Xenopus tropicalis: one gene and its partners. The protein of the gene in region 2 purifies or fractionates together with the protein of the main gene of each other region. This does not show direct contact. Links are inferred from orthologs where the notes say so. Each region holds a gene or a part of one and is shown on either strand. Other genes may lie near its edges. The genes, in order: mfn1, marchf5, mfn2 and dnm1l.

The links.
Region 1: the proteins of marchf5 (region 2) and mfn1 purify together in Homo sapiens (affinity purification with western blotting; 4 studies listed by BioGRID, with this or other methods). This does not show direct contact. The link is inferred for Xenopus tropicalis from reciprocal best matches to the Homo sapiens genes MARCHF5 and MFN1.
Region 3: the proteins of marchf5 (region 2) and mfn2 purify together in Homo sapiens (affinity purification with mass spectrometry; 5 studies listed by BioGRID and IntAct, counting the BioPlex papers as one, with this or other methods). This does not show direct contact. The link is inferred for Xenopus tropicalis from reciprocal best matches to the Homo sapiens genes MARCHF5 and MFN2.
Region 4: the proteins of marchf5 (region 2) and dnm1l purify together in Homo sapiens (affinity purification with western blotting, with the first as the bait; 3 studies listed by BioGRID). This does not show direct contact. The link is inferred for Xenopus tropicalis from reciprocal best matches to the Homo sapiens genes MARCHF5 and DNM1L.

What each region holds. Positions count from the first base shown.
Region 1 is NC_030681.2:108,879,099-108,884,050, forward strand, and holds the start of mfn1 (mitofusin-1), read right to left. Parts: upstream 2,943-4,952; 5' UTR 2,936-2,942; coding exon 2,821-2,935; intron 860-2,820; coding exon 724-859; intron 222-723; coding exon 59-221; intron 1-58. UniProt on the Homo sapiens protein: Mitochondrial outer membrane GTPase that mediates mitochondrial clustering and fusion. Membrane clustering requires GTPase activity. It may involve a major rearrangement of the coiled coil domains.
Region 2 is NC_030683.2:25,748,057-25,752,770, forward strand, and holds the start of marchf5 (E3 ubiquitin-protein ligase MARCH5), read right to left. Parts: upstream 2,911-4,714; 5' UTR 2,744-2,910; coding exon 2,700-2,743; intron 1-2,699. UniProt on the Homo sapiens protein: Mitochondrial E3 ubiquitin-protein ligase that plays a crucial role in the control of mitochondrial morphology by acting as a positive regulator of mitochondrial fission and as an important regulator of immune response.
Region 3 is NC_030683.2:65,993,213-65,998,147, reverse strand, and holds the start of mfn2 (mitofusin-2), read right to left. Parts: upstream 3,183-4,935; 5' UTR 3,098-3,182; exon of another isoform or gene 2,863-3,097; intron 1-2,862. UniProt on the Homo sapiens protein: Mitochondrial outer membrane GTPase that mediates mitochondrial clustering and fusion. Mitochondria are highly dynamic organelles, and their morphology is determined by the equilibrium between mitochondrial fusion and fission events.
Region 4 is NC_030679.2:4,795,315-4,799,477, reverse strand, and holds part of dnm1l (dynamin-1-like protein), read left to right. Parts: intron 1-1,810; coding exon 1,811-2,005; intron 2,006-2,394; coding exon 2,395-2,506; intron 2,507-3,001; coding exon 3,002-3,082; intron 3,083-4,163. UniProt on the Homo sapiens protein: Functions in mitochondrial and peroxisomal division.

The DNA of each region.
Region 1 (4,952 bases), on a different chromosome or scaffold from region 2:
ACAGCACGGTGGGAGATATCATACAGTGAATGTTTGTAATATACATCTGCAGTTATACCTTTACACTTTTCTTTTCCTCTGAACCCTCTGTCATCAGATAGGCCTTGTCTCCTTCTGTACCTTCCACGCTAAGGAAGCAGTTGGTAGTGTGTCCAATACCACTGGGCAGCACTTTGTCCCACAGCATAGAGTTTATCACTGTGCTCTTGCCACTACTTGTTCTGCAGGGATGGATAAAAACATCACGGTTCATTCAAATTATGGTTAGCATGCAATATGAACATAAAACTCAGGAAGAGTTAATTATTCAACATTTAAAGTTCAAAACTTAAGAATAACAATGTATAAGACAAATACATATGAATTATCTCTATACTGGTATTCAGAGTAAATCCAATTAGTCAGTGGGTCAAACTTCTTGCCATCTGATCAACAGAAGAAAGCTGGCAGTAATGTGAATCGGTGGTGGAAGAGCATATGTATTGCAAAGTAGTGGATGATTCATGTGCCATTGCCCTTACTGTTAGCAGATATTTCTCATTTCTGAATCATGTTTCCATATATATATAATGTTTGAATTACTATACTGACTTCTTGTAATATAAATACCAGAGGGTTCAAGCATAAAATGTATACTTTATTATATATTTTATATGTTTGTTTGCAGCTTAAAATGCAGTTATCACAAATCACATATCCTTAAATTGTGATGAAAGCTCTTACCTGCCAAAAAAAGCCACCTTCATATTCCTGCGGGCGAGAACCTCCCCAATGCCAGCTAGTTTAGTCTTAGATGCCTTAACCTTATTAACATCATCCTCTGTACTCACATTCTTTAGCTCTGGGTTCTGGAATGTTTCTATGCCGAAATAAAGGAACATAATGGTTAAAGTTTAAGCAAGCACAGTCTTCCATCTGCTGCTCTTCCACTACTATGTCTAAGTGCAGTTTGTTGCCCTGGAATGTAATGCACAGGTATAGGATCTGTTATCCGGAAACCCGGTATTGAGGTTATGGGAAGGACATCTCCCATAGACTCTATCATAATCAAATAATGTATATTTGTAAAAAGCATTCCTTTTTTTTCTCTGTAATTAAACATAACCTTGTACTTAATCCTAGCTAAAATAAAATGAATCCTTATTGGGGGCAAAACAATCATATTGCGTTTATTAATTATTAAAATGTTTTTCAAGTAGACACTTAGGGGCTGATTTACTAATCCACGAATCTGAATAAGAAAAATTCGGATTGGAAAATGAACATTTTGCGACTTTTTGTATTTTTTGCGACTTTTTCGTAGCCGTTACGACTTTCGCGAATTGTCGTGACTTTTCATAGCCATTATGCCTTTCGTGAATTGTCGCGACTTTTTCATTGCCATTACAAATTTCGTGAATTGTCGCGACTTTTTCATTGCCATTACAAATTTCGTGAATTGTCGCGACTTTTTCATAGCCATTATGACTTTCGTGAATTGTCGCGACTTTCGTATTGAGCGCTCGAAAACGTTGCAAAATACCGATCATTACGAAAAAAAAGGAATTTGGACACTTTTTGGACGTTCGTGGATTAGTAAATGTGCCCCTTAGTATGGAGATCCAAATTACGGAAAGATTGCTTATCCAGAAAACCCCAGGTCCAGAGCATTTTGGATAACAGGTCCCATACCTGTGATAAGGAGCACACACACGAAAAATCCTGCAGGCAGATGGGAAGCGCTTTATAATAAATTGTGAGAAGATTAACCAAAAATATTGATCTTTTTTATTTAATAAAAACAGGCAGAATATATTATCATTGTGTTGATGTGTAAATAATAGGTTTTAGATAAAATCTCTTACTGTTATAGACATAAAAAAAATCTCAGATCTCAGCCATAAATCATATAGCACAGGAAGACTTCCATGCTTTAGTTTAATGGGACACAGGCATTTGGATCACTGTTGCCCTTCAGTGAAGAACGAGTCTTACACTGTGGTGGTCAGAGGCAATTTGACAGCCATTGTTTTCACAAGACAGCAGCAGTGATCAAAACTTTTACTCTAAATCTTTAAAGGGATACTGTCATGATTTTCATGGTATACTTTTTATTTCTAAATTACACTGTTTACATAGCAAATAGTGTATTCTATCATTTTAAATGTTATTCTTGAACCAACAAATTAATTTTTTTTGCTGTAATATTGGTGTGTCGGTGCCATCTCATGCATTGTGCCTGAGTCTAAAATTTCAGGAGGAGCCAGCGCTACATTAGTACTGCTTTCAGATAACCTAGTGTTTTTCCTACTGCAGTGTAACTGGAGGAGTCCCAAGCCTGACTTGGATTTCTTACTATTGAGTGCTATTCTGATATCTACTGGGAGCTGCTATCCTGCTACCTTTCCATTGTTCTGCTGATCGGCTGCCGGGAGGGGGGTGATATCACTCCAACTTGCAGCTCAGCAGTAAAGTGTGACTGGAAAATGAAGGACATGGCACCCCATGTGAAATTTAAAAATGAAAAATCTGTGTTTTTGAAAAATGGATTTCAATGCAAGATTTCTCTGGAGAAGCTCTTTCAATTCGATTATTATTTATCAGAAAACAGTTACACTACATGGAGAATGTAGTAAAATATGCAGAACTTGCCCTATATCTACTGATTCATAGTAGTTTCTCAGCTATTTTCTCAACTATTCACTATTTTAATTGCTGTAAACTAGTAAGTGCTTAATAGTTGCTGTGGGTTATTAGACCTTGAACAAAATTGCACCTGTTACTACATCCCACGGTTAGTCTTAAAATGTGCAATGCTATATTACAGAAAATGAAAGATACCTTCTACAAAGGTTACGCCTTCACTGACATACTCCACCAACTGGTCAAAGATAGACGTAATGCTCTTCTTGGCTAGCACAAAGTGCTTTAGGGGAGAGACACTTGCTTCTTCCATGACTTATCTGCTTGAAAAGAAAATGGCAGTTTTAAGTGCCAAGAAAATTGCCAATCCAGACAGTACAAAGAAGCAATAAAAATGAAAGATGACCACACGTCTATTATAAGAAAAAAAAAAAAAAGCAAGAACTTGCACTAATAACTGCTTTTAGATCAGATAATCATTCTGGTGAGAACATCTTATCTCTGTTTATCTTATCTCTACAAAAGGGCTGCAGGATATGGAATATATATAAAATAAATGAAAGAAAATGTAGATAAAATAAACCACTAAAGTACTATATTATACAGGGCCAACATCATGGGGAACGAGGTGCTGCAATCAGGGATCCCATAGCAGGCCCTAAGAGAGGTAAAAGTGCAATTCACAGGTTGCGGAGGGCTTAATGACAAGTCATGGATCTGCAAGTCTTTTTTTTTTTCCATTGGGGAATGGCACACAGCCCAAGGGCCCAGGCGACCAGTGGGTTAATAAATGGGGTCCCGTGGGGGGCAATTCTTTTTTTTTTTTGTTCAAATCACAAAATTCACACATGTTAAACAAAGAGTTATATGGATCTTTTGAAATAAAAATGATTAAAATACCTTATATAAATAATAACATAGTCCACATTATAAGCATTAGAAAATGTCACCAAAGCTACAATTAATATGTAAAATGTATATTTAATTAATATTTAAAAAACACAAGTTTTAACCTGAATGCACTTGTTGCTAATTTCTATAGAAAGTGAGTATCCTAGTATGAAGGACACCAAAGGTGAGCGTGTATAATAAAGTTCCGAACATATGTGTGCTTGGACTGTACTGCAAGGAGTTCATTTACAAGTAGACTCAAATGGGTAAATACATATTATATATACAGACACACATACGTACATATACATTATATACACAGTAACACGTCAGTGAGTGTATAACATGCTACAAAATGACAGGGGGGGGGGGGGGGGCGACTAATCCAAGTAAATGCATACTGCCCAAAAATCGGGCTTTCTGCAGGACGCTCACGATTGGCCTATCGCAGCCCGCAGTCCCGCATCCCTATGCCCTACTTACACCTCCCGCACAGCAGCTAAGTGCAAATTCCTTGCCTCCTGTCCTACACACAATCCCCGCACCGCCACTCTCATCACGCGAGATCCCGTCCTGCGCAGTGACACGTTACGTAGCGCATTGGGGGAGGGGCGAGCGGAGACGGCGTAGCTCAGAACCATTCCGTGGGAAGTAGTTGTGTAGTTCTTTTCTGCCCGTACCGCTTACTATTGTAACAAAAGGCGATAAGCTGCCAACACGGTCCTCCTAAAATTTTCTAGAATCTTATTGTACAAAGCATGAGTAAAAATGGCTTAGAATGTATAGCCTTTGCAAAGGATGCAGCTCAAGTCATTGGACTAAGAACGTGGGAGTAAAGTTATGTGTAGGCATTAGTGGGTGTATTAGTACAACAGAGTGACCATTGATTCATGGTAATAAAAATGTTAGATGAAAATGTAAAGGTATGAACTGACAGGCATTATATACTGTCATAAACCCCCCTTTTTATATTTGTTGTGCAGCTTGCAGACTTCGAATTGTGTTGGGTTGAAAACCCCACAGACTGTTCTTCCACTTCAGCTTATTCTTCCGCTTCTTCTTCTCAGCGCCCCCCATTTTCTAAACGCTACTCCTCCTACAGTTTTAGGGGTACAACACCCAAACTCTCCACACTCCTTCGCCCTATATTCATGGAACTATCCGGGACAGCGGGAGGCGCCATAAAAAGCGGGACTGTCCCGCGAAAAGCGGGACAGTTGGGGGGTATGCTATTGCTTTTTATTGGTTTGTTGCCAGGCTTCCCAAACTTTGCACAGTCAGTCACTGGGTGACTTTGTACTCAAGGTTAGAAAAAGTGGGCGTGGCTGCCAACAGCCAATAACATTTCACCTATTTACTTTCAATGGTGAAGTGTAAAATGCTGTCAGCTTCACAATAAATGCTTGATTCCCCAAAATTTGCAAAGTTGGTCACTGGGG
Region 2 (4,714 bases):
GACTTCGGAAAATGAAGCGATGCGAAGGGCTTTCTACTGGCAACTCCTAGAATTGGCGATGGAAAGCCTTTTCGTAGCGGCTTGTCGCCCACGACAGTAGAGATCTATCGTGGGCAACACAACCACTCCGTGGGTTTATACCCTTAAGGAAAAATAGTTTTAGTTTAGTTTCTTTTAGAGAGATGGTATGATAGCAGATCCAATGGCACCAAAAACTTTTTCTTTTACCCTAACAATAGGGAACATATCGTCTTACAAGCTGCTGACTCTGACACTGCTTACACCTCAGTTGTTAATTGCATGAACTGTTTATGCTGGCAAGCTATATTATTAAACAAGGATATTATGCCTGTGCCAAGTCCAATACAATACAATGTGCAGCAGAATACTTGTCACTAACATAGTCACTGTACCAGTAGAGTGTGTAGGGCAGAGGTGGCTGAGATTCAAAATAGACTGTACCGGATTCTGGCACAGAGGTATTTTTGTGACAACTATCTGAGAAATTATCTCTCATTCTCTTGTGCAAACATGGTTTCTGCCAGGTTTTACTTTAAAATTCCTTTTTGACCCTTCAAGGTCATTAGCTTGACTCTTCCTCATGACAACATGCATTTCCTCAACTTACATGCCCATGCTGACATTTTACAAACACAGGATAATAATTATGATATTGAGGAGGGTGATGATAATAATACATACTTTAAATAATCACAACTACAGCAGAGGTTTTAATACCTTGCTCTGCCAGCATTTTTTTTTTCTCTCATGATATGTTTATCTTATCAAGTTCATAAATGACATCATGGCTCACTCCCCCTCCCTTCAGCGTGAGGTCAATCAACTCATGCAGAGTATCAGGCGTTGCAAAAGCTGTGCATTCTTGTTTGGAGAAGCAGGAAAGCAGCATGATAAGGCAAGGAGAGGCAGAAAGGGTAAGCAAGACAGTGCAGTGAAAAGTAGCCAAGGGAGATCAATATAAGGGTAGATTTACAACACACCCACCCAGATCATGGGCTGCCAGTTGTTCCGCCCTAGAGTATTAAAGAACCAATAACACCAAAAATGAAAGAGTTCTGTATGCTGTTAAATATCATTTATTGTTACCTTCAATAGTAAAAGTTGGGTGTTTGCTTTAGGATGAAGACACATAGAGCCACTAGTAGCAGTTACTTTTTCACGGGTACTGAACACTGCCATAGACAATACTGAGAACTGCCTCTGCTAGAACACACAGAAACAATTATCAGTAACTGATCAGCATTGTCTATTTTAGTAGCTATGACAGGTAGCCGGTACTAGTAGCTCCATGTGTCTTCACCCTTATGCTGGCCATACACGTGGCGATCTGACGATGTTTTGTGCGACCATCGATCGGTCGCATGAAACATCGTCAGATGTGCCACACACCATTCAGGGCTGAATCGGCAGGTAAGGAGGTAGAAACAATAGGATTTCTACCTCCTTCTGCCGATTCAGCGCTGAAGGGAGATTTTGACCAGGCGCCTTCTATGGCGCCCGATCAAAATTTTCCAACTGGTCCGATCGGCGAGTCGGCCGATATCAGCAGCTTCCTGCGATATCGGTCGACTCGCTGACATACCATACACACACCGAATATCGTACGAAACGAGGTTTCGTACGATATTATCGGTGCGTGTATGGCTACCTTTAGAAGTGCAACTACAGTTTATATAAATAAGCTGTTGTGTAGCTATGGGCAGCTATTTAAACTGGTCTACTTGGCACCCATTTTCATAGCAAATAACTAGAAACAGTGGTTAATTGCGATTTAAAGCACTCTACAGAACCCGCAAAATGAAAACCTTTCCTTTGTAACATAACATGATTGCGCCTTTAAGGCAACCATTTAGGTTGATAGAGAATCAGAATTTATTAACTGTCACTGAAAAACAGTGATTTTTCTCACTCTGAGCATCTGGTTCTTGAAACAATGTAGCAGAAGTCAGCCTTGCTTGCCATGCTCTTTTACAGGTCTATTATATCAGCTGGCTTCTGCTAAACTGTATCAAAGTCAGAAAAGCCTGGGAAAAGATTGTAAGCTCTACAGGGCAGGGACCTCCTTCCTACTGAGTCTCATACCACATGGCACTTCATCTCTGTGTATTTAAGTATTTATTATAACACTTGTCCTCCGTGTGTAATTGTGTATATTGTAAGATTGTACAGAGTAAAGTTATACATACGTACATTGTTGTGAATAAACTATTATTGAAAATTACCACTTTTGTTGGTGTCTGCCTGGAGGAGGTAAGTTCATTACTACCTCCTCTGAATTACCCATTGGGTTTTTAAGTGTTTTTAGCTAATTTTATCCATTTGGCGCCTCTGTTTTGTCTTATCATTATACATACATACACACAAAGGACAAAAAGTAACAAAGGCTGCTTTCAGTAACTCTTATATACAAAAATGACTGCAAATATGCAAAGAATGCATTTTGGAAAGTTGCTATGAATGACAATTTTTAGGGTTTATTTCCCCTTTAAATTCTTACTTCTACTATAAAGAAGCATGAGGAACAAGAAATATCTATTCTAGCTAGTTATTATAGATATGCACTATATTATGTACGTAGAATTCTAGCTATAAGCACAGCAGCCCATAGAAGACGCAGCGACACAGAAGGCATCCCCCAACCCTACGCCTTGTCATTAGGACGCGACAAACGCACTCACCTGTCAAGCATCTGCTGTACAGACACGCTGTTCGCCTCCGACATGTTGCCCTTTGCCCCGCAGCCGTATTTACTCGAGTATCAAGCGATAAAGAGTATGAGGAGACAACACGTCCAAGTCCGACATGCAGGAACAGTCTCACCGAACCGCCATCCGTCCGTTTCAAAGTCCTTTCAGCAAATTCCCCTTCCTATTGCCAGCAGCCTCTAACTCGGTGTTTGTTGTTACGGAACCAGAGTTCTTACGTGAAACGTCAGTCGTACTTCATGCGGCAACCGAGCGGCGCCGGAAGCAGGAAGTGAGAAGCGCTGGGGAAGGTGTCTGTTGCCATGGTAACGTCGGTATCTCGCTAAAGTGCATCGTTACCGTAAATTAGAATTTGACTCTGTATCTTATTGGCCTGTGGAAGTTTTTATCTGTTCCGATTTGGCTTTTTATATACATATGCGTAGAACTTGTGCGGCGAAGTGCGCTTTAATTAACATAGTAACAATTTTGTGGTATAAACTATAGGGATTTCTAGTGCCTGATCTACCTGTGTTTTTATGACTGTGTGGATTGTTTATGCTTTGCACCATGCCTTCAATATTTAACCTTAATATTGTTTCATACCTCCCAACATTTGAAAAATGAAAAGAGGGACAAAAAGACTTTGCGCGCGCAGCACGGCAACATTTTGACCACGCCCACTTTGTGGCCACACCCCAAGTGCCACACCCCATTTTTAAAATAGTGCCCCCGATGGCCCAATAGACAGCACCCCCATAGACAGTGCCCCATTTGCCCCCATAGACAGTACCCCCCATAGACAGTGCCCCCAATTGACCCCATAGACCATGCCCTCAATTGCCCCACAGACAGTAGCCCCCATACACAGTGCCCCCATAGAAAGTACCCTCCATACACAATGCCCCCATAGAAAGTGCCCCCATACACAGTACCCCCATACACAGTGCCCCCATAGAAAGTACCCTCCATACACAATGCCCCCATAGAAAGTGCCCCCATACACAGTACCCCCCAAACACAGTACCCCCCATACACAGTGCCCCCCAATTGCCCCCATAGAGAGTACCTCCAATAGAAAATTCCCCCCATACATAGTGCCCCCCATAGACTTCTTGTGGCTCCTGCTCCTTATTCGGCTCCTCGTACGGCGGTGACAGGACCTTTTATAAGGTTGCGCCCCGTGCGTACACACGTACACACGGGCGCAACCTTATAAAAGGAGCTGTCGCCGCCATACGAGGAGCCGAATAAGAAGCAGGAGCCGCAAGAAGAGACAGAGTCGGAGCGGCTCGGCTGCAGCCAGCGCATCCCGCTGGCCTGGATAGTTTAATGAATGTTCTGCATTTCCGTAATGCGAGACATTCAGGGAACTATCCGGGACAGCGGGACGCACTGTAAAAACTGGGACTGTCCCGCGAAAAAGCGTGACAGTTGGGGGGTATGTTGTTTATATCCATATATATTTTTTTGCCTACACTATTCCAAAGCACTTGTCTATTATAAAAAGTAACGTACACCATATTGTAACTTATAAGCAGTGATGAGCGAATCTGTCCTGTTTCACGAAAAATTTGTAAAAGATTTGCTAAACGGCGAAAATGATGTGTGTCAAAAAGAAATAGTTGGCAAGAAAATTTTTTTTAGGTGCGCGTAATTTGTTTGCCGCGTGCATCAATTTTTGGGTACGCACCAAACTATTCTGCGCTGAATTTTGTCTCCCGTTTCGCAAAACATTCCACCACTTGTGAAAAGCAGAAACCTTTCATCAGGTACAAGGAAGCCAATAAAGCATGCAAAAAAGCTATCAGGCAAGGTAAAATAGAGATGGAAAGGGATATTGCAGCTAGGAATCCCAAATTATTTTTAAAATATGTAAATAGTAAAAAAATTAAGCAAGAAGGGGTGGGACCCTTATTATCACAGGGGGGGTCAAATGGTTGATGAGAACAGGGAAAAAGCTGAAATTTTAAACTCATATTTTCCATCTGTTTAAAACTAAGGTTAAA
Region 3 (4,935 bases), about 40 Mb from region 2:
CGTTAACAGGTCCCATACCTGTACACTAATTTATTATTACAGAAAATAAGTAAATCATTTTTAAAAATTAGAATTATTTTTTAAAATGGAGTCTATGGAGTTTCCTGGACACGTGTGCTGTAAAGTTTATGCAGTCATATGGCAGAATTACACAGAACACAGAAAAAGTCCTGCTTGAATTTAACACTGTAATGGTTAAGATAAGGTCAGGAGAGGTGGCTAGGAGAAAAAAAAAAAAACATGTTTCTCCAGCAGAGTGCACAGCTAGAGCCAAGTTTCTATGGAAACCAGCAATACCATTTCTTCATTGGCTGCTAGACTTGAGGGTGTGTTTCATAACCTGAGTTGAGGATGCTCAGTAGCCAACAGCCAAAGTAAATTCCAATGGCTAATGCCACAAGCCTAAAAACGCTTGCCAAGTATATACCCCGCTACTGTAAAATGGGCTTACCTTATGCCTGCACAAAGAAATGAAATACTCTCGTGTGTAGGCACATGTAGCCGTTATCTGCCAAAAAATGAGAGACTTCACATTTTTGGCATATATCAGTTTACAGCTTGCCGAGAATACACTCCGTGTGGCATTAGCCTAAGGGAGGGGGCAAAGTGGTTTTGAGGAGGAGAAGGAATCCTAAGTGATTAAGGGGATGCTGCAGCCTTATTATTCATTCTGTTCATTAATTATTTTTTTGTGGGGGGTTTACATGTCCTTTAATACAAAATAACAAGGGGTTAAGTGAAGATGATGAAGGTTGATTCTTTTGGTAGATGTGTGGATATCTTAGGCTAATGGCAACAGGCTGATTCTATGCCGGTCGGTGAGCACACATTCAAGGTGTGGAAGGCAGCAGAATGGATTTTCTCCACTGGTGTATATTTAAACCAGCTACACTGTAGTGATAATTTAGAAAAGTAGTAATTTAGTAAGTAGTATCAGCATCATAGACAGCTACACAGGACAGACCGGCTTCAACACCACTAAACTTGATTTTATTTTGCTTGCAAAACCTGTGTAACCACTTAAGCTGCATTTGGTCCACTTTAAGACCTTATAACCCTATAGGGCATTTGAAACATGGCAGTAACCGTAGCATATTTATGGGAAGCTCCAATAAACGGGATAAACAATCATAATTTTGAGTCCTGAGTAAAAGCTGACACATATATTATTCATTCTTGCCTACAAGATTATTGTAATTTTCACTTAAAACCAAAGTGGGCATCTATATTTGTATTTATACAAATCCCCCATAACAGATTTGGCCTAACCGATACCTAACCGAACCCAAACCCTCTGTGCTGCTGGAAATTGGTGGCACATGGATAGAAATAGTGAAGAAGCACATGAAGCGCACACAATCTAACATGTGCGTGATAAATGTGCATCAAATCTTTCACTTTATATAGCATTTGGGTATGGTTCGGTTTGTGTGTGTGTGTGTGTGTGTGGACGTAGCTTAAAGGGGTTGTTATCCTTTGAGTTAACTTTTAGTTAGATTAGAGCACTATTCTAAAACAAATTGTAGTTGGTCTTCATTTTTTATTTGTAGTTTTTTAGTTATTTTGTTTTCAGTTCAGGAGCTCTCCAGTGTAAAGTTTCATCAGTTATTTGGTTGCTAGGGTCCAATTTACTTTAGCAACCAGGGAGTGGAAAAGAATAGAAAAGAAAGTTACAAAAAGTAACAATAACAAAAAAACCTGTAGCTTCAAGAAAGTTTTTCGGCTACTGGGATCAGTGCCAACCATTTAAAAACTGCAAAGATTAGAAGACAGCGGCAAATAATTCACAAAAAAGTAAAGCATTTCCCACATCTTCACTGCCCCATGGAAGAATACTAGTAATTTCCAAAGCAGATGTCAAGATTTTGGCTAAGACAAGATTATATAAGCTTTCAGTGCTTAGTATCCTCCAGCCATTACCCTAGAGAAATAAGGAGTTGTAGTTGAACAACCATAGGCCCACAATTTTGTGTGTCATTATGATCTGGCTGCTTCCTCATGTAGCCCATACCTTAAAGCCCACCCAGTGTGCACCAGAGGCTACGTATCACATGTGATCATTATATAATTGTGAATACTAATTATTACACTGCAGGGTGGGAACGTTGGCCTGAAACTGCAGTTACAACAACTCCCTAATTACAAGACAGTACCACACTAATAAATACATCTTAGATGTATTCATTAACAGTGGAGACAAACATCGCTGGTGATTTTGCCCATAACAACCACTCAGATGTTTGCTTTTGTTTGCTAACTTGTAGATGACTGTTCAAATCTAATTGCTGATTGGGTGCTATTGGCTACATCACCAGTGACAGATGTCTCCAATGTTAATAAATACACCCCAAGGTGGTTTGAGATCATCAGGTTGAAGACACTGGTGCAGCTTTACTCCAGTCTAGTAGCTCATAGCAACCGATGAGCATTAAACTTTGACTGGTCCAGCACATCTGGAATAAATACAGCAAATTTTCAATTGGTCACTATGACTTTCTGCTACAACACAAAGCAGCAATATTAGTATTTTCCATAATGTCTATCAGTCTTCACTGGCCTCAGGCTATGTTTTATTTGACAGCTCTGCACTGAAAGTATGATATAAGATTTAAAACAGTACCTATCAGATGATCAGGTACTGAGCAGGTTGACAAATAAGTATTCACTCATAAAGCACCTAATAGTGGTATGTGAGCAGAACTGTCTCCACACTCCTAATGTTGTTACATTTGGAGTGTGGAGACAGTTCTGCTCAGCAGCATTTGAGGTACAACACACACAGAAGGGAACCAATAACCACTATCACCCTGAGTGCCCTTCTGCCATCACAAGCACAGCGCAATAGGATCATAAATGTCTTACTTGTAGTGCAAGGAAAGCAGTTACTAGGCCCGCATGCTATTCAGCCGGACTGGGGCTGCTCAAGCAAAGAAAACAATCGCAGGATGGGACGCTACTAGGAGCAGGCAGCTTTGCACACAGCACATGCGATGTTCTAAGGTCCGTGCTCACTCACATGCTGTACCGCTGCGCTATTTCCTTAGCAGCATCCAGGCCTTCAGTGAAGGGTACAGGACAGGAAGGGGTCTGCACTAACCTCCTGCCAGCGGTGCGCTAAGCCACACCCTCCATCCCCGATTGGCACACACCATAAGGAACAGGGAACCCAGCAAGTGACGTCACACACTCCGCCCCTACAAGCAAAGGTCAAAAAGGAGGCGCGGCACAATCCCGATTGGTTTTGGGCATGCTGGGATTTGTAGTTCACTGGTAGCAAGAAATGTCACCGTGCGGTATAAGGAAATTATAAAGGCAGTAATAGCGTGGGGGTAGTGGGTGTTAGGTGATTGAATCGATATAAGAAGTAGAAAACAGAGGTGATGGCTGTAAAGATTTGCTGTGGTTATTAGCGCTTGGTAACATTTTGTAGGATTGAATATAATACAGAAGGCGAGATTTGGTACATCCCGTCCTTTTTTCTAAATAAAAAAGTAGTGGGCTACTACTCTAAAAAAATAACAAATCTAGAAAAATAACAATGTGACCGTAGACCACTCGAATTTAAATGTTATAAAACAAGAGGGGGACTTGCTTTTTGCCTATGAAGTATGTTTCACAGAGGACAGTTGCCTCAAGACCCAGTGGGTGAGCTGTAGCCTATAGGATAAACCCATGTAAATGGAATTTTTTTTAAGAATCTGATCAGCTATTGTACTGGCTTCAGCTTCAAACCCAGTGGGTGAGCTGTAGCCTACAGGATAAACCCATGTAAATGGGATTTTTTTTAAGAGTCTGGAATTCATTCCCAGAATTCCTATTGTTTGTCAAGACTCCTGTAACCAAATGTAAAACTATTTTGGGCTATATTGCCAAAACCAGGCTATGAGTAGAGCATTGGTTACATGCGACTCTCATACATCAGCATGGGCTTCCGCTAAGTGGGAGAAAACTAATGGAGGATGTTGTTGAACTATACCTCCCACTGCCAATGTGTAGTGCAGTGATCCCCAACCAGTGGCTCGTGAGCAACATGTTGCTCTCCAACCCTTGGATGTTGCTCCCAGTGGCCTCAAAGCAGGTAGTTATTTTTTAATTCCTGGCTTTTGGGCAAGTGTTGGTTGCATAAAAACCAGTTGTATTGCCAACAGAGTGGTAGGAGGCAGCTCACCGGTTAATCCCTTCTCTTGGTAGAGGGCAGGGTTAATTGCTGGCCTATGTCCCTAGTACTTCTGTGTCCCTAACTAAGGCAAGTAAGCCTGTTAGGAGAATACTCCTTTACTTTTTCTCCTGGATGGAGCAAATGAGCTGCTCTTTCTATATAAATCCTAACTGTGTAACTCTCCTAGAGAGTCCTATAATATAAAGTAACCTGTTCTTACTGTACCTCGTTCACGGGGCCCTGTCCCCGACTTTAATTTGGATGAAATGGCTACTGGGGCCTGTGTCTGCACCCAGGCTCAATGGAGCGGTGCATCAGGTAGCAGACCGGCAGCCAAAGAGAAAGTCACAACCTCCTGCCAGACTTTATCAGTCTGCAGGGGGCGTGTACAACCAGGCTAAACCTATAAGGGATAGCTTTACAACTGTAACTGAGTACAAGGGCTTCTGCCCAATAATAATAAAGATGTGAAGAGATAGGGTGTAAAGCCATAGGGAGCTTAACCCTATGGGTCCCTACATTCACCCGGGGGAAAAATCCAGGCTAGGAGTAGAGCATTGGTTACATGCGACTCTCATACATCAGGATGGGCCTCCGCTAAGTGGGAGAAAACTAATGGAGGATGTTGTTGAACTATACCTGCCACTGTATAGTGTATTAGATGTAAATGCATATTTAAGAATAGATAATGGACGCCATGAGCTCTTGCAAAACAAAGGAACTGTTTATTTGTCCAAGACCGAATTCTAAATGCAGGGATATCAGATGAGGTAACA
Region 4 (4,163 bases), on a different chromosome or scaffold from region 2:
AGGGAAAAACACTATGGCAAACCCCCCTTACCATATGTTAATACAATATAAACAAGAGAAAGGGGAATGTTCTGGGCCAAACACAATAAAAGCTTTTGTATACCCCATTACCCTTGGTACTTGTCCCCTAAGGGGAAAAAACGCTTTTATTGGACCCTTACCCATATGGTAAATAATACAGAATAATACAAGAGAGGAATGTTCTGGCAAAACAAAATTTAAGCTTTCTTTTGCCAGCCCCTGGGGGATTTGGGGGCGCTTTCATTTCCCTTTTTTTCATCTCCCAAATGGGTGGAGAAAGCGATCCAGGGGCCCGGGGGTAAAATTGGGGATGGTTAGGAACAGTTCTCGTTAGCCAGAACTCCCTTAAAGTCCCCCACCAGGCTGCTTGGGCAGGGCATTTGAAATTTCCAAACAAGTCGAGCCATTTAATTGAAGACTTAAATCCAGCAAAGAGTCCATTGAATTTTTTTTACATAAACGTTACTCCACTAAATGCTTTGGGGAGGGGGGGGGATTTTCTGTATTTTCGACATTAACAAAGCTTGAATTAGAGTGGGAAATTTCATGTTTTTTCCTGAACTGAAGGAAATGCTGGGGAGCCCTGTAAAAGTTTTTCCCAAAACTTTGAGGACTACTGTGCCCTGGTTTTTTTCCAATGCCTGTTTGGGGTTGAAATGTTTATTTTCCTGTTCGCCTAACAGCTTGTTGCAAATACAGCAAGGCCTTAATGTGGGGCGCTGTTCTTTAAAAGCAACTTTAATATTGGAACAGCTGCAAATGTAACTGTAAATGTAACTGTAAAAAAAAATGGCGGCCAAAAAAAAAAATTTGTGGGGTTCCCTCTGGGGCAAAAAAGGGATTTAGTTGGGGTTTTCCTCAATCCCGTCCCCCTTTAAAAAATAAGCAAGTGGTTATACCTTAGGGGGCTTTTTGTTTCCCTGCTGAAAATTTGTGCTTAGTTAACGGGGGGAATCCCTATGTGCAATAGGTTTTTATGGTATTTCCTTCTGTACAGGCCTATGGGCCAAACTTAATGGGGGCTTGTTTCCTGCCTGAATTGTGGCTTTAGTACAAAGGGGAATCCCTATGTTGCCCTAGTTTTTAATGGTAAATCTTTTCTCTGTACGGCTTAATGGGCAAACTTTAAAAAGGGGGGCCTGTTTTTTTCCCTGCTTTGAAAAATTGGTGCGCTTAGGGTACAGGGGCAAAAATACCCTTAATGTGCCATAAGTTTTTTATGGTAAATTCTCTGCTGACAGGCCCCCTATCGGCAAACTTAGGGGGGGCTTGTTCCTGCCTTGGAATTTGTGCTTTAAGTACCAGGGGAAAAAAATCCAACTTTGTGCCATCAGTTTTTTTTTTATGGTAAAATCTCTCTGTAACAAGGCCTAATGGGTCAAACCTTAAGGGGGCCCTTGTTTTTTTTTCCTGCCTGAATTTGTGCTTTTAAGTACGCAGGGAAATCCCCTATGGGTGCCAAATAGAATTTTAATTGGTAAATCCTTTTCCTCTTGTACAGGCCTTTAAATTGGCAAACTTAGGGGGCTGTTTTTTTTTTTTCCTGCCTGAAAATTGTGCCTTAAGTAACAAGGGGGGAAAAAATCCCTTATGTGCCATTAGAAATTTTTTTAAATGGTTATCTCTCTGTACAGGCTAATGGGCCCCAAAAACTTAGGGGGCGGCTTTGTTCCTGCCTGCTTTTGAAATTGTTGCTTTAGTTAAACAGGGGAAATCCCTATGGTGCCCATAGGGTTTTCCTATTTTCTGTTTTACTTTTAACCTGATGAATTTCTTTTCGTCCCCTTAGAGCAAGCGAAAAGAACGTTTCGGTGGGCTTTGGAGAGTTTTGGGTGGGGGCCGGGAACCCTCCTGGGCCTTTTCCCCAGGGGTTACGGGAAAAAAAATAAAGTTCACCAAGAAAGAGCCCCTAATCCCCTGCAATGGTTTCCACGTGTCCTCCAGACGACCGGGCAAAGACCCCTTTCCGGAGATGACAGAAACGGTAAAAACGATAATCTGCCCGGGGTTTTTTTTTCCCCCCTGTAAACAGCTTGGTGGTACAGACACAATTCAACCTGATTGGCTTTAATGGCTGAAATCATTGTCGGGGGCAGGGTTGGTGCTGGGTAAGGAGGGGATCAGCACTTGTCTCTACTGAGATAATAGAGCGACGTGCAGGCAACGTGATTGGCCCAGAGGCTCATAAAATCAATCGGTTGGATCAAAGGTAGAAGAGAGAGAGGCACCGGCGCTTCCGCCCACTGGAATATTTATCATTCACGTTGGAGCCAATAACTTCAGGCAGCCAACCAATAAGATGCCAGAGAGATGCCCAGCCCCCGGAGTGGGCGTTGCCCACAGAATGACACCTTGGGTGCCATTTCCTTTAAGGGCATTGGATTTGGGCCAGTGCTCCGGGTTCCTCTGCAACCGGCCAAGTGTTGGGCGGCCAAAGAGTCGATGGTCTTGTCCGCTAGCCTTCTGCCAGTCCCCCACCTCTATGGTACTGCCCAGCCCTGTGCAGAAGGAAAAGGGGAGCACTGGATGGAATATATTTGGGGGTTCATTGTGTGTTTACCCCTTCTTCTAGCACATCTGCCCCCTTGGATTGCCCATAGCAACCATTTAGATCTTTGCTTTTGTTTTCTAACTTCCGTTCACAGGATCTGAGTGGGGGGAGAACAGCAGAGGGCCCTGCGGGGATTGGGTCTGGGCCGCTGGGGCCCACAGGGTTTTTCCCCCAGTGCCCCAGTCCGACCCTGACCGTTCAACTCTAACTGCTGATTGGTTGCTACGGGCAACATCACCGGTGATTTTGGCTTACACACTTTCATAATTTTTCCCTACGACTATGCCCATCATTACCTGGCAGGGTGGGATCTCTGTAGGGAAAGTGGGGGGGGGGGGGTATCATTGTGTGTTTACCCCTTCGTCTAGCACATCTGCCCCTGTGGATGGGGGGCTGCAAAGCACAAGGTGGAAGACCCTTTCCCTTAATAACGTCTCCTTCTCTCTGTTGTGTTTTTCTCTTTGATTCCAGACCCCAACGCCTGGAAAATTCCGAAGCACTTTTCCAAAGGTCTACAGTTTCCACTGTCCCCCCCCCCCCCCCGAACTTTATTTCCTACCTGCATGTGCCTACCTGCCCCCGCGGGGCTTGTGTGTAGAACTGTAACCCCCGCACAACCGCAGCACCCAGTCACCGGCGACCCTCCAGCACTCGGATACTATCAGTAATGGCCGGGGGTCCCTTACAGAACAGCAAGGGGAGGGGTTAAAACCAGACGTGACCCCCTGCGGCCCTGGGTATGCTGGGAATTTTACCAACATCCTTGTGGCCCCGGGTTGCAGGGAGTTGTAACAGTACTTGCCATTACTGATAATGTCCGCCCATTGGTAAAAGCAGTGTTTTTTTTCTACATATAAACTGTACTTTCATTTTTTTTTTTTAGGTTTAGCCCCCTGTGCTTTATTCTACCACCCCCTATTTATTTATTTGTGTTCCCTCATCTTGCATGCATCATTTATTTGCCCTCTGTGGGGTATAAAGCAACATGGCTACCCAGTGATCAGCCAGTCAGGTATTTACTAGGTTTGGCCTTAGTCTGGGTGAGGCCGGGGAATTATAACACAATGGGAGAGCTATGGGGGATATTGGGAAAGCCAGTATGTAAGACAATGGATGTGCCAGTTACACCTGTATGGAGGCTACAGCAAGCAAGGCAAGAGTGTAATGGTTGCCTCAGCAAATCACAGAGTCCTAGTAAGTCATCTAGTTAGGATCACTACTGGGTAGCACCCTTCTTCAAACTCGATCATATCAGCTATTGCCTCAGCTCCTGAGCTACACCCCCAAAGGCCAGTGGTTCTGATTAGTAGCTGGGGCCTCCTAGGTTAGTCATTACTGAAGCGGACAGCGACACTAATCGTTGGTTTAGAGATAGACGTCGTTCTGGCATTATATCGACGTTTCCTTACAGAGATCAAGTGCTGTGCAGTGGGCGCCTAAAGGAATGCCTCCTATGCAGATCACATTCCTCGACTTCCAAGATAGAGTGAGAAACAGAACCAGTCATTATGAGGATTGCCTCTCACTTGATACCTGCGTAGGCCAGCGCTTAGAATACGGTTCGTACGGCCTTAGGCAACAGTCAAACACA